Rattus norvegicus: one gene and its partner. The main gene of each other region encodes a partner of the protein of the gene in region 2 in a complex. Links are inferred from orthologs where the notes say so. Each region holds a gene or a part of one and is shown on either strand. Other genes may lie near its edges.

Region 1 (4,182 bases), on a different chromosome or scaffold from region 2:
TGTTCTATAAAACACTACAAGTTCAATTTGGCAATTCCTTAAAGCTAAATAGAAATTACAACAAAACCCAGAAATTCCACACCTTGCTATATGCCCAAGAGATGTAAAAATATATGTTTACACAGGAACATCTATGTGACTGTTCTTAATAACATTTTTCATCATTAACTTAATGGACACAACCTAAACATCCAACCAGTATGAGAATTAAATGATAAAGGGTATTTGATATGCTAGTATAGAAGAATATTATTCAACAATTTAAAAAATCCTTCAAAACATATTCCTTTTAAATAAAGGCCACAAAACTATGTCACAGGATTCCAGTGACATAAAGTGCTCACAATTGCAGCTATATAGAGAGAAAATTGATTCATGGTTTCCTAGGGTTGGGAGTAGGAATTAGTTGCTAACAAACACAAAGGATATCTTTTAAAAGTTCTGTTGTTACATTTATTCATTTTTCTATGTGGTATGGGAGAGTCTGAGTTGGAGTGGGTTGAGGAATGGTTTTAGTGTGGAGAAAACATTGCAAAACTGAGTTTACAAGAGGGCAATTGGCATGTGTTTGAATTTACCAGTCTGACAAAACTAGAATTTAATAAACTCATTGACAAAAAAAGACCACCTACATGAAATAGTGCTGTACATGAATGGGATCTGTTGAAGCTGTCCACAGCAATCTCCACCATGCAAATGAGGGTAGCCTTGATTGGCTGATATTTGATTTCCAGAGGATACTGGGTTCACATGGTATAGCCTGTGGTTATACTTGGTTTAGATTGGCCTTCCTTATTTATATCATTCTACACTGGAAAGTGGTGAAGCTTTCTAGACCAAACTTTTTTATTTTTTTATTTTTTTTTGTGGGAGTTCCTGGAGAACCACCTGTTTGTCTTCCAGCCTGCCATCAGCCTTCTGTCCTCCACTGTTATGGTAAAGATTTCACAGCTGTGAATTTACCCAGATCTTTGATTTTATATTTCAAATGGTTAAATTCAACTTGTACAGACTATACCTGTAAAAATCTACTAAAACACTCCTTCTCCCATACCAGTGAACTTAACCAGTTTTGAGTTTTTTGATTATTTCCCATATTCTGTACCTAGGTGGTCAGTATCACATCTGACACTTGTTAATGGGCACAGTAAAGATTAAATGTGCTTCATCACATGCATGAGAGACACCAGAGGCCTCAATGTTCATTGTTATGGTTGGTCTTAAAAGTAAAGGTCCAAGTCCAGGACTGTAGGCCTTCTGGATGCCTTCCAAGAAGCGAGGGTGAAGTGAGCTTTGGCCTGGAGTAATACTCCCTGTCACTGATTAACCAGCCCCGTTGGAAGACTTGTGTGACCAGCACTGCCTAGACAAAGACACCTGGACAAGCTCTGGTGGGCAGAAAAATGTCTACCCGCTATCACCAAGCAGCAAGTGACAGCTACCTGGAACTTCTGAAGGAGGCCACTAAGCGTGATCTAAATCTCTCAGATGAGGATGGCATGACACCCACTCTCCTGGCAGCCTACCACGGCAACCTTGAGGCCCTAGAAATAATCTGCAGTAGAGGGTGAGTGATCCCTGTTAGGGCATCCTGGGTGGGGAATGCCACTCTGGCAGTGAGAGACAGAGATGTCCACATAGACATTTTGCTTCTTTGTAGGTCCTCTAAGTAGTTGGCTTTTAGAGAAAGAAAGACTAAGCTAGGTATGGTTTCTTTCCCTGTGAAACAGCCATTTAGAAGTCACTCAGGCAGAGGTGGGTAGGGTGTGGATTGTAACTATATGCCCTGAAAATCACCTCCATTGAATTTAAATGGTTAACTCTTTAAAAGGAGGTCACCATGCTTATTGGTTCAGTGATCTTCCTTGGTTAGGACATGGCTTTATTTTACTTTTCCAATCTTGTCACTAAAATCTATCTTTACAAGTACTCAGCCTTGATGTAAACTCCTGGTTCTTCTGGCTTTGCCATCTATAACATGAGTCTTCAGTCCATCTTTACACACACACACACACACACACACACACACACACACACACCCCATCCCTTAGCTTTAGATTCCAGTCTTTGCTAACTCTTTTATTCTGCTCACCCTGCTCATTGCCAGAGAGCTAGTCAGGGTAGGCAGTTACACTTAGATGGAGAGAAATGGAGCAAAAGAGGAGTTTGGGTGAGTGAGAAGAGTGGGGGGAAGAGGGAGAGGTAAAGAGTAAGGGAGTCAAATGACTCCAGTACAGTGCATATTTAGCATCTGGTAGGTGACAGTCCACCTCTCCCCCTTCTCTCCCCTTCTTCTGCTTTCTCTTTCTTCCACTCCCTCCTCTTCTGATTTTTCTTCTCATATATTTTTGGTGCTGTCCAGATGGTCCCTATCAACAAAACATCCTGGTGCTCTTGTGGCACTCAGATCTGAGAGGGGAAGCCAAGCAAGCAGCTTATGGTAGATGTGACAAAGTCTGTTCCAGGGAAGGGAAATTAAGCTAGTAGAGAAAGACGGGGAGCTGATCAAGGCTGAGGGAAGTGCTTTCCCCCTAAGGCAGAGAGCACTGTGCATTCCAAGGGTAGAAGACGTTGAGTTTGGCTGGACATGACTTGCACAGGAACAGACCTAAGCCATAAGACTGGACTATCAGGGGCCTTGAGACTTCTGTTCAGGACTTGAATCTCCTCCTGAGAGCCTAGAAACCACACCCTCTATTTACAGAGGAAGCAGTCACATAGATTTATGCTTATGAATATCGTTCTGGCGATTGTACATTAGTCACAGAGAATGTCTAGGGACGTTCAAGGTAAAAGTGAACTAACATGGTATCACTGGGTGTGAGTAGACACGGAGCTTTGAGTGACAGTTTGGATGTCAGATAGTGATTGGATGTGGCAAGTAAAGGAGGAGGAGGGTCAACATCTGTTTGGATTAAACAGATTGTAGATATGGACACCTCATTGAGTTGGGGAACATGTCAGAAAGAGCACGCCTACTCTCTATACCAAATCTTCTGAAACTTTATTCAAGATAGGTCTTTCTTCTTTTGAGTTAATGTCTCAATTTTGTTATAGCAATTAAATACATAACACACTTAATTTAATTTATAAGGATACCTTAATATTATAATCAGCAAATTTATTTCTTAGTTTATCCCCCTGTTTGATACATAATTCTTTTTTTCTAGTTTGCAGTGTTGTGGTGATTATTCCTCCACATAAGTCCTTGTCCATATTTTTTTCCCCGAGTGTAAATTCTCAGAACTGAAGTTTTTGGGTCAGTTGCCTGCACTTGTGCTATGATCACAAAATGCCTCGGGCAAAGTAATTTACAGAGGATAAAACTTATTCTATAGTTTTAAGAGCAGCCAGGAAGTCTAAGATCAAGTTGGCAAGAAGTTCAGTGCAGGGAGAGATCTTTCCATGCTGGCTCCTTATTGCTGCCACATCTGGGGTGAGGGGGACAGGGACGGAGCCCTCACATAGTAGGAGAGAGAAGATGCACGCGAACAAAATTCTGGAAAAGCAAGTTCCTTTCTTTGACAAGGAACCCCTTTACATGGTGAAGGCGGGGTTCCTGGTGAGGATGAAAACGCCAATGCTGAGCTGCCATGCACTTTCGTCTTTGTGAGCTGCGTGTCTGTAACATTGCCCCACTTTTATATGTCTATATAAAAGTGTGTGTGTCTGTGTCTATGTGTGTGTGTATGTGTCTGTGTGTGTCTGTGTGTGTGTGTAAGTATGTCTATGTGTGTATATATGTGTATGTGTGTATGTGTAAGTATGTCTATGTGTGTGTAAGTATGCCTATGTGTGTGTGTGTGTATGTGTGTATGTATGTGTCTGTGTGTGTATGTGTGTGTGTGTAAGTATGTCTATGTGTGTGTAAGTATGCCTATGTGTGTGTGTGTGTATGTGTGTATGTGTAAGTATGTCTATGTGTGTGTGTAAGTATGTCAATGTGTGTGTGTATGTCTATGTCTGTGTGTGTGTGTCTGTGTGTGTGTGTGTGTGTATGTATGTGTCTGTGTGTGTATGTGTGTATGTGTGTGTGTCTGTGTGTGTATGTGTCTGTGTGTGTATGTGTGTGTGTGTAAGTATGTCTATGTGTGTGTAAGTATGCCTATGTGTGTGTATGTCTATGTCTATGTGTGTATATATGTGTCTGTGTGTGTATGTGTGTGTGTAAGTATGTCTATG
Region 2 (11,079 bases):
GACAAAATGTCCATCTATATCGATTACACGGCACAGATCTACTGAGCGTGAACCGGATGTGGCTCTGCGGAGGACTAGTAGGCAGCCTAATAGTAGTAATGAGACAGCATGCATCTGAGGAAAGCTTGGTCTGGGGAAGCCCAAGTGAGTGGCAGCAGTGTGGGCGGGTCATCTCTGCTGTCCTCCAGGCAGCACTCCAGGAGTGATGTCTTAGTTCTTTGGTCTTTTAAACATTTTTCTTTACATCTGGGGAGTGGGGCATGCATGTGCCACCGCTCCTATGTGGAGGTCAGAGTGAGCTCTCTTCTTCCAGCTAGGTCCTAGGGGTTGATTCAGGTTGTCCTTTACCTGCTGAACCATCTCCCTGGCGGTGTTTCTCTAGTCTTCCTAAGAATCCTATAAAGCTGGGCGGCGGTGTGCATGCGTTTAGTCCCAGCACTTGGGAGGCAGAGGAAAGTCACTATGAGTCGGAGGCCAGCCTGGTCTACAGAGCAAGTCACTAAGAAGATATTGTTTCTATTTTCTTTTTGTTCGTTTGTTTTTAAGACAGGGTCTGCCTCCAGAGCAATGGATTAAAGGCCTCCGCCACCACCACCCCTCCCTGCCCCCGTGTTTCTGTTTCTGAGTTCTGGGTTTGTTTGTTTTTTGTTTTTTTTTCTTCTTCTTTCTTTATTCCTTATTTAGTTATTCATGCATTCCTTCTTCTGGAAGTAAATGTAAAGACAGTTTATTGAGAAAGGGAAAGTACTCTTTTCTTTTTTTTTTTTTTTTTTTTCCTTTTGTTCGGAGCTGGGGACCGAACCCAGGGCCTTGCATTTGTAGGCAAGTGCTCTACCACTGAGCTAAATCCCCAACCCGGGAAAGTAATCTTGAGAATGGGAGTGAGCTAGTGAACTGCTTGGTGGGGGGCACTAGCTCTTAAAGTGCAGGGGCCCGCCCCTAATTTACATATCATTTACATAGTGCCTGTTTCTACCACTTTCGTTTTTTTTTCTTTTTTTCCATCTTTGTTACCTTGGGTATTTCTTATTTACATTTTGATTGTTATTCCCTTTCCCGGGCCAACATCCCCCTAACCCCTCCCCCTCTCTTTCTCTATGGGTGTTCCCCTCCCCATCCTCGCCCCCCCCCAGTTCTGTTTTACTTAGTCTTGGGGTATCTCACTTATTTGCCCTCAGGACATTAAAGCAGCTATGTGATGCCCTAGTCACTTTTTTACAGTTTAGACTCCAGATTGGGAGGAAAAAAAATCCATGCTTTCAACCATTCCAAATGAAGCTGATTACTTGAGACTATTAAATTTGCCTGCCTGCCTTCCTTCCTTCCTTTTCCTTATTTCCCTCCTTCCTTCCTTCCTTTCTTTCTTTTTTCTTTCTTTCTTTCTTTCTTTCTTTCTTCCTTTTCTCTTTTTTTATTGGATATTTTAATTTACATTTCAAATGTTATTCCCTTTCCAAATGTCCCGTCCATAGGCCCCCATCCCTTCCCCCTTCTTCTATAAGGGTGTTCCCCCTCCCCAACCATCCTTCCTTCCTACCTCCCCACCCTGACCTCTCCTACACTGGGGTCCACCCTTGGCAGGACCAAGGGCTTCTCCTCCCATTGGTGCCCAACAAGGCCATCCTCTGCTACATATGCAGCTGGAGCCATGGGTCTGTCCATGTGTACTCTTTGGATGGTGGTTTAGTCCCTGTGAGCTCTGGTTGGTTGGCGTTGTTGTTCTTATGGGGTTGCAAACCCCTTCAGCTCCTTCAATCCTTTCTCTACCTGCTCCAATGGGACTTCCTTTGCTATTAAGATGCTATGTCGCCCATGCTGGCCTTGAACCCATCATTCTCCTGCCTGTCCCTTCCTGCAGGGATTATAAGCACGGGCCAACATGGCTGGCTTCTCATTCTTTTTTTTTTTTTTTTTTTTTTTTTATTAACTTGAGTATTTCTTATATACATTTCGAGTGTTATTCCCTTTCCCGGTATCCGGGCAAACATCCCCCCTGGCTTCTCATTCTTACAACCAAACCTGTCCATTTTCTGTGACTCTAACTCTGACAGGCTAGGCCTCAGCCACATGTCCAGCATGGAGTGGAGGAGCCGCGTTTCTGGGTTTCCTAGAAGAAACTAGAGGACCGTTCCCTGGGTAAGGGCTCCTAGGCTATTTGGACACTGGTACCCATGATGGGGGTCAGGGTCGGGGAATGCTTTGTGGGCAGGGAGAGCATAGAGAATACCCCCAGGGGAAGTAATGGGGAGGAACAGGGCACCCTTTTCTGTCTGAGAGTGGGCTCCTCTCAGCCAGTGACTGAGAAACAAACATGAATTTAAGCTCCGTTCCTGGTGGGGGGATTGACCCCACAAGCATAGTCCTTAATTCTGGTGGTATCCAGCATCCATGAGACACAATGTAAAGCACACAGTAGGTTGAAGTGGAAACTTCCGGTTTCTTTGGAAAGTCGGTGATCTCAGGTGATGTTTTGCTGGGGCACACAGGCAAAAGGATGCTCTGCTAAAGCGGACACGTGAAAGGACGTGTGGTGTTTAGAAAGATTTTAAATATGACCCCACAGACAGTGGGAGCCCCAGCGTTGATTGGTTCCATTCACTCCACCTCACTCACTAGTCTTCGCTGTCGACCTCCATGTATTGGTTGGCATTACATTGTGTACTCACTCCGGCCAGTTGGCGAGACTCAAGGTTTCTTCTGATTCCCGTGCGGTGTCTGCTGAGAAGACTGGGCTGCTGGTGTTGATTCGTGTTTGGTGTTTGCTTGTGGATTGAACTAAGGAGATTAGAAGATTCCCAAAGAACTGTCTCTAAACAGGTCCACTTCCCTAGTATCCTAATAACCTTTCTTTTCTACTACCCCTGGAGGGTGGCGGGCTCGAGGGGAGGTTGAACCCTTATTAAAGCAGGTTGAGAAAAATTTATGCCTACACTAGGTGCTCAATAAATACGGATTCTAGCCCCTCCCCCAGCGACTTGAGGCCAGTCTTCGCCAGGACCTTGAAGAACCATGAGTTCTTTTGGTGGATTTGGTGCTCCCTGAGAACTTGTGTCAGCACACCAAAACCTCAAAGGGATGCCTCAGTATCAAGAGGGAGCAGCAGCTTCCTCAGGCCACTCAGGTAGGAAGAGGCACACGGCTGTGCTATGCGGTTGGATGAAATGAACTTGGGAATTGTTCCCCCATGGGAGGCAACCACTGGGAGTGTGTGACCCTGCCCTTATGAGTGTGAGGAGACCCTGGGGCAGTGTGTGAACCTGCCCTTTGATTTTGATTTTGATTTTGTTGGTTTTTATTTTTGGTTTGTTTCTCTGCATAACTCTGGTTGCCCTGGAACTCGCTGGCCTCAAACTCTGAGATCTATGGGCATCTGCTTCCCAAATCCCGGGATCGAAGGCGCCACTTCCCCAGCTCACCTTTGTTTCTGAGAGATAACATCTCGCTGTGTCTGGTCTAAAACTTGTTCTATAGACCAGCTGGTCCTGGAACTCATAGGGATCCACTTGCCTCAGTCTTCTGAGGGCTGGGATTAAGGGCATGTGCCACTATGCCCTGCATTGACCCTGACCTTTGATGTCCTGCTTGGAGGGGACAGATATGGGGCTGAAAAGGCTTCAGGGTGCCCTTTCACACCAGCCTCAGGCCTTGGCTTGAAGGCTCAGTGCTTGATAACTGTCAAGTCTCCTCACCCCAACAGATCTCCCCACCCCACTTTCTCCACAGGTCCCCTCTCCAGAAGATGAACCAGGAGAGGAGAGATGGCCCTGACATGTCCCCTGACTGTCACCATCTCCAGTTTGCAGCAGAACCCTGGGCTGGACATCTGCCCCTTCTCTGGCAGTGGGACTGCCTACTCCTCTAGTACCTCAGCCCTAGGGCCTTGCCCGCCCTAGCTGCAGCCAGTGCCTTCTGAGGAGGTGTGGTCTCTGTATGGTTAATGATTGCTCCGGGGAGGTGGAGATGGTGCCAAAGTCTGCAGCTGTGTTCTGCCGGGCCCAGACAGTGCTCACCTGTGACTGGGTGCACATCACCACCTCTGGGCCCCTTCCAGGGGTTGTCCAGCTCAGCTGCTTCGGGGGCTCTTAGCCCAGGGGTAAGCCGGGGTCCTTGGGATTGAGGCAAACTTTGAGGTCTTTCCGACTTGGCATCTGGAGCGTGGCGGGGACACCAGGGGGAAGAGCTAGCTGTGTCATTAGCCACTGGGATGGGCAGAGCCAGGCTTGAGTTGGTGAGGCCACCAGTGAAGCCTGTTTCTTCTGGAATGCAGGGCTAAGACCTCCTTCCTCTCCAGGCAGTGACCACCTCCTGCTGTCCCTGGGGTATTTCTAGCCTGAGGAGAAGGGTTCCCCTAGGAAACTAATCGACAACCTCATCTGTTATCTGAAAGGGGAAGATGAGGAAGATGGCTGAATCTGGCCATGGGCCCGAGGGGGAAAGGCTGGCTCCACTCCGCCTGGCTCAGATCTTCATTCAGCTCCTTGCAGACTCTGAGTGAGCTGCTGACTGCTTTTGGTCCTTGGTCTCTGCATCGGTGGGGTGGCATGATACTAGTAACCTGGGGAGGGCTTGTGAAGTAGACATGGCAGGGGTTGGAGGCTGTCCCTCACAGACTCAGAGATCAAATGCTAGGTCACCTCAGGGAGGACTAACTATGCTGGTCCCAACCCTAACTTAATCCTCATCCTGGTCACAGGGTAAAGACTCAGCTGGGCCAGCTCGTCTTTAGACAGGACTTACTTGCTGGTTGCTCCCAGGCAGCATTTCAGAGCATAATGCCGATCTCCTGATCGGCACAGGACGTAGCCTGCCCTCACCTTACTCCTCAGAGGAAAACTGTAGCTGAGGGTAGGGCAGGCTTGTATGTGAAATGCTGAAATCCAAACCTGGGGCCTGATCCATATCTGTCCCCTCAGAAGAAGCAGCCAAGAGGGCGGGCACCATCTCTGGCTATAAGAAGCCTAGTATACCTGGGGCATGGACACTTAAAGGTCCCTGGGTCCCTATCTTTGCAGCTGCATCACTTGGCTGGGCTGGTGGGATCAGAAGAGACCCCTGTAGGGTCAGCAGAGTGGTACCTGGGTCCAGCCTTGCCCGCTGCTGGTGTTTAACCCTTTGTGGTTGGCCGTCCGAAAAGGTTGATGAACAGTAACGGTAGGATAGCTGCTCCCAGAGATCAGCTGTGCGAAGGAGTAAAAGAAAGCAGAAGTGAAAGGAAGGGCTCAGGGAACTTCTGAGGCTGCGGCAGGGCGGGGTGGCTGTGGGGTGAGGAAGCCTGTAGCTGGGTCATTAGTGGAGGAGGGCTCCCTTCCTCTGTGGCCTTCCAAGAGGTCTGGGATCCTCACATCCAGTGGACTGAACTGTAGAGCCTTTGGTTTCCTGGAGTCTTGTGAGCTGCGGCCAGCGTGTCCTCTGAGATAAGAGGGAGGAGCCCCCTTGCTGTGGATGGCCTGGGTCTGGGAGCCTGGGGGTCCATCGAGTGATCTGGAGCCCCTGGTGTTCCCGACTTTTCCTCAGACACGTTATAGCATGAGTAGCTGAGTATTTTTGCTTTTAGGGGACACTAAATAATTGAACACACTGATGGAACACACCAGAACATCTCCTCATTCCATGGCTTGCCCGGCACAGCTAGCCTGCTTCAGTAGAGAGCCTCCTGCCCAGCCTCAAATAAGGCGGCAGGAGCTTGGGAGCAAGCACCTTGGATTTCTAGGGTCTAGATCTGTTCTTTCTTCCTCTCCTCTTCTTCATCTTCCCCATCTTCTTCTTCCTCCCTCCCTGCTTCTCTCTCCTTTTACAGGTCTCTCCATACAGCTGAGGCTAGTCTAGAACTAGAGAGCCTCCTCTCTCCTGAGTAATAGGATACTGGTGGCACTCCAGGCCCAGCTTCCGATCTCTTAAAGATACAAACTATATCAGGCGCAAAGTGGACGGGGGCTGGCATCAGTGGTGTCTCACGTGAGCCTACGTTTGACTTTTGGTCCCTCCGAGGAGGAAAGGGCACCTGGGGGAAGTTTCCCCAGCTCCAGTACCTGGGCACATCCCCTCTCTTCTCCTGTATGTCCTGTAGCATATGACCCCTGACTGGAGCTCAGAGACTCTAGCTGTGACCTGAGCCTTGAAGGACAGAGAGAATTTGCACAAGGGCAAGGGACACAAGAGGGCCTTTGGCGCAGAAGAGACACATGCAAATCAAGGGGAAAGATGATGCAGTGTGTGTGTGTGTGTGTGTGTGTGTGTGTGTGTGTGTGTGTGGGTGCGGACTGTGGACAGGATACGGCAAGAGGGAAAGGGAACCACTCTTGGAAGGTGAGACCCAGGTCCCCTAAGGATTTGGCTTGCCAAAGGTGGGAAGTGTGTCCAACAGCTGGTCTGAGCCTTTGCACAGGTCAGGTCTTGGGAGTGCCTGTGCCATCGAGGTGAGGCAGGTCACCAGGTGCTTCCAATCTCACAACACATTTTTCTTAAGTGATGGAGTCTGGGAGATGCTGCTGTCAAGTGCAGAACTTTGGCCTTATTATTGTTAGTGAGTATGCTTGTGAAAAGTCACTGTGACAAAGGGGACAAGGCTGAGAAACTTAGGGTCAACTCATCCAGTATAGGAAGGAGAATCCAAAGGAGTTCTAGGAGTGAGTCAGACATGACTCTGTGACTGCTGGACAGGAAACCTAGCTTCCTGGAGACTTGAGAATCCCCATAGGCAAAACAGAGTATCTAAGCCATCTCTCCAGGAGTGACTCAACAGGGATGGCGCGTGAGCTTTCAGGTGTGGGGCACTATCACCTGAGTTACACCATGAGGACAGGAGGGAAAGTAGGAGGAAACAGAGAAGGGGGCTTGAGTGGAGCCTGCAAGGGGCCATGGGGAACAAAGGTCCCAGTTTGGTTTCTTTGTCCTCAGCTGCACCTTTCTAGGGGTTCTGAGTAACCTGGGAGAGAGAAATGTGTATATGAGTGTGTGTGTGTGTGTGTGTGTGTGTGTGTGTGTGTCTGTGTGTGTATGTGTGTGTCAGTGTGTGTCAGTATGTGCATGTGAGTGTGTGTGTGTATGTGTGTGTCAGTGTGTGCATGTGAGTGTGTGTGTGTGTGTTTGTGTATGGATGTGTGAGCAAGTATGTGAGCCTGTGTGTGTGTGTATGTGTGTGTGTGTATGTGTTTTGTGTGTGTTTGTGTGTGTATGTGGTATGTGTGTGTATGTCTGAGAGAGAGAGACAGAGAGAGAGAGAGAGAGAGAGAGAGAGAAAGAGAAAGAAAGGGAGAGAGGGAGGGAGAGAGAAAGAAAGGGAGAGAGGGAGGGAGAGGAAGAAGAGGGGGAGGGAGAAGAGGGGAAGGAAGAACAAGGAAGGGAAGGAGGAAGAGAGAAGGCCCTGAAAAGGGAGAACAAGGTTTGTCCATCGATGAGTATGGAACCCAGGGCCCTGAATACATCGGGCCAGTGTTCTAGCACTGACACATATCTCTAAGCCTTTAAAGGTTTACTTTCAGTTGGGTACTGGTGGTACACATCTTTAATACCATCCCTCACTCAGGAGCCAGAGGCAGGTGGCTTGGTCTCTGAGTTCAAGGTCAGGCTGGTTCATAGAGTGAGTTCCAGGACAGTCAGGACTACACAGAGAAACCCCATCTCAAAAAACATTTTTTTTTCTTGAGATACAATCTTTCCAAGTTCTCAGGCTAGCTTTGAACTCTCAGCCTTCCTCCCTCCCTTCCCAAATAGCTGGGATTACAGGCATACCCAGCTGCCTGCCTTCGGATTGGTGTCCTGCTATCGGCTGTGGTGGGTTCCTTCCAAGCTTCTTTGCTAACAACTGATAACAGGTGCAAAGGGTCAGCCCAGCACTGCCCAGCATCATTAACTCCCTCCCCGGGGTGAACTGGGTAGAGAGACTTCCTTCCTGGAGATGGGCTGAGGTGAACTTTGTGACATGACTGGATGAATTGTGCATGCATCAGCGATTGATCAGCCTGTGGCTGTTGCTTTACACCCAATAGAAGGAAGGCGATCAAAAGAAAGAGATAAAGGAGTCAGGCTCAAAGCCAGAGTCCCGAGAAGGAGACGTCAGGTGTTCATGTGACAGCCCAGCTGGCAAGGAAGCCCCAGGACCTTCTGCACACACGTGGCATATACATCAGCACTCCGCTCCCCCCCTGATTCTCACCTTGCCACCCCCACCCCCACCAGCTCCCCCTAGACCCCAGTCTCATTCACTCACCACCATCCCCACCCTGAACTCTTTCCCCAGACGCACACCTTGGCTTCATTTGTGGCAAGCCTTGCCCTCCCTGGTTGGTATCCTATGACCTCTCTCTACATTCAATCTCAGAGCATGGGGGATGGAGTCTCGGGAAAGAGCAGGCTCCATTGTGACTCCAGTGAGATCGCAGAGGCAAGGTGAGGTGTAAGCTCTTGCACAAAAGGGAGGGGTTCAAGTCCATGGAGCCCCTGAGAGCTATAGGTATATGGGTACGCAGCACACCACCCACAGAACAGGGCAGGGCAGGGCAGGGAGAGGAGAGCCCAAGCTCACTGAGAGTCGCCCCCGGACTGACTTCCACTGGCTGTCACTGGTGTTGTTCGCTCTGTTTTTCTGCTTATTTTATCACAAGTCTATCCGTTTACTCTGCCAGAGACGCAAACCTCCCATGGGATGTGGGAGCCCCTAGGCTTCAGGGTCCTCTACCTCCCTTCTGTGCCAGTATACAGTCTTGTGTCTTGGGCTTTTTCCTATACTGGCTTCCTGAGGAAAGACTCTTAAGAGCTAACAATGTAGGCTCGGTCTGTCTAAGACTGTGTGACCAATAGCTTTAGTGGTTATGGACAGAATCCGAGGCTGGAAAAACAGTTATTTTCAGCATTTTGCAGAAAGTCTCCTGGCCACTCGCTGCCTGCTGCACAGAGCATCAGATACATCCCAGAGCACGGTGGCTTGACCGGCCATCTGTTACTAATATTCCTGTAGGAGTTTAGATTAGGTATAGCAAGAGTTGCTCAGCTCTGTTCACGGTATTTGGGGCTTCAGCTAGGATTGAGTAGTGGATGGAGTGGGCATCTCACAGCTTAGCAGCCACAGGGGTTCAACGTCCCCCGCCCCAGCACCGCTGAATCTCTGTGGGAGCAGGCATGTACGGCAGTCTCTAGTGTGTACCTACTGTTTGCTGGCAGCCACCCGCACATTTTGAGACATTTCTGCTCTTGAATGTTGGCATTCGTAGAAGCCTCTTGTCCTGCTCTGGGGGTATCTGTGATTATAACAGATACACAAGTCTCTTGTGTTTTGTGTTTCTCCAGAGTTGGTCAGCTTGAGTTTAAATGTCCTGCTTAGTTTGTCCACTTCCCTACCATGGCTGCATCTCGATGACTCTGGTTGGTGGCCCCCAGGCGGTGGATAGCACCTGGAGGCCACACGACAGGGTGACCCTATGGAGAGCCTCCCTCACACATTTCAGAGTTTTCCCCTTTAGGCGGGTCATTTACATTTTTTTACATTATTATTTTGTTTGCTATGTTGGAGATGAAACCCAGCTCCTCACACAAGCTAGGCGAGGAGCTGTCACTGGGCTGGAGCTCCCCCCTCCACTTCCCCCATGTTGTCAGCTGTCTGTCTCTGGTCATTGGTGGGGGTGTCATTTCATCACCGTTAAGGGTTCAGCCTTTCACATCACTCCATCCCATGGATCTTTCTCCTCTGTGGTGTCCCCAGATTCAGCTGTGTCTGATCCAGACTCTCTGGAAGTGACCCACATTCCTTGGGGCAGAAAGAAGGTGGGACAGTGCTTGCCCATATGGCTCGGGCAATGGAGTCTAGAAGTGCAGTCGCTTCTCTCAGAAGTTTCTCTTCTTTCGGCCCACCCCATGCCGCTGCTTTCAGGGAATTATAGAACTTTCAGCCTTGGTGGGATTTAAGTCTTCTTCCTGGGGTGTATCCCCCATCACCCCTACTCTGTTTTAAGTGTCATCTGCTTGATGAGGTGGCAGACACCAAGACAACAAGTCACTAGCTTCCAGCGTTCCTACTGCCATTCTGGTGGGGTTCTAAGAGGGGGGCAGAGGAGTAGCAGCCAATGCAGGGCCACCCCACGAAGCTCTCCTGCTCCCCACAGAGGCCCCCTCACCCTTCAGATCTTCACCTGCTTGGAGATCTCCCCTTCCAGTTCTTGATATTCATGACTGTAAGACATCGCCACAGGGGTTGGGGATTTAGCTCAGTGGTAGAGCGCTTGCCTAGGAAGCGCAAGGCCCTGGGTCGGTCCCCAGCTCCGAAAAAAAGAACCAAAAAAAAAAAAAAAAAAAAAAAAAGACATCGCCACAAAGGCTACTGCCAAAGGACAATAGCAAGGCCACGCACTACTACACGCGCTTGGAAGACTGGGGGACCAAAGCTTAGGAGTATAGTGAGACATTAAACACACGCACACGTGCGCGCACACACACACACACACACACACACACACACACACACACAGACACGCACATGCACACAGGAGCCAGCTAGGCATCATGGCACACACTTTTAAATCCCAGAATTTGGCATGTAGACAAATCTCTGTGAGCTTGAGGCTACCCTGGACTACCTAGAGAGTTCTGGAACAGCCAAAACTACACAGAGAGCCCCTGTGTGAAAACAGCAACAACCAAAACAAACAAACAAACAAACAAACAAACAATCCCTGTCTTCCCCCCCCCCCCCCCCCAGAAAAACAACCTTCAGTTCCAGCACTTGGTCAAAGGAAAGTAGATCTAAATTTGAGGCTAGCCTGGTCTACATAGACATCCAGAGCTAGAGACAAATACACAAATACACACAAACAACAAAACCCCATCCACCACCATCCTGTCTGGAAAGGGCAGGGCTCTGCGTGGACAGGCATCTCCCCGCATAGGCTTAGGTTCAATATGGTTTCCTCAGGCCTGTGGCCACTGCGTGTTGGTTATCAAGCAGGAGCCCCCCTCTTCTCCACAGGAGCTCCACAGAGGTTCCCCGCTATAGACGACAACCCATTTAAGGGCAGCTCAGGCTTCCTTTCAGCCCTGAGTTCCTGGCTCGAAAGACAAGAAGTCTTGGAGCCTTGACAGAGGGCATCT

Evidence for each region.
Region 1: Cdhr2 (region 2) and Anks4b share a complex: the UniProt entries of both Homo sapiens proteins name them as parts of the IMAC/intermicrovillar adhesion complex. The link is inferred for Rattus norvegicus from reciprocal best matches to the Homo sapiens genes CDHR2 and ANKS4B.

What each region holds. Positions count from the first base shown.
Region 1 is NC_086019.1:183,977,420-183,981,601, forward strand, and holds the start of Anks4b (ankyrin repeat and SAM domain-containing protein 4B), read left to right. Parts: upstream 1-1,382; 5' UTR 1,383-1,403; coding exon 1,404-1,567; intron 1,568-4,182. UniProt on the Homo sapiens protein: As part of the intermicrovillar adhesion complex/IMAC plays a role in epithelial brush border differentiation, controlling microvilli organization and length. Plays a role in assembly of the complex.
Region 2 is NC_086035.1:9,910,617-9,921,695, reverse strand, and holds the start of Cdhr2 (cadherin-related family member 2 precursor), read left to right. Parts: upstream 1-3,997; 5' UTR 3,998-4,093; intron 4,094-11,079. UniProt on the Homo sapiens protein: Intermicrovillar adhesion molecule that forms, via its extracellular domain, calcium-dependent heterophilic complexes with CDHR5 on adjacent microvilli. Thereby, controls the packing of microvilli at the apical membrane of epithelial cells.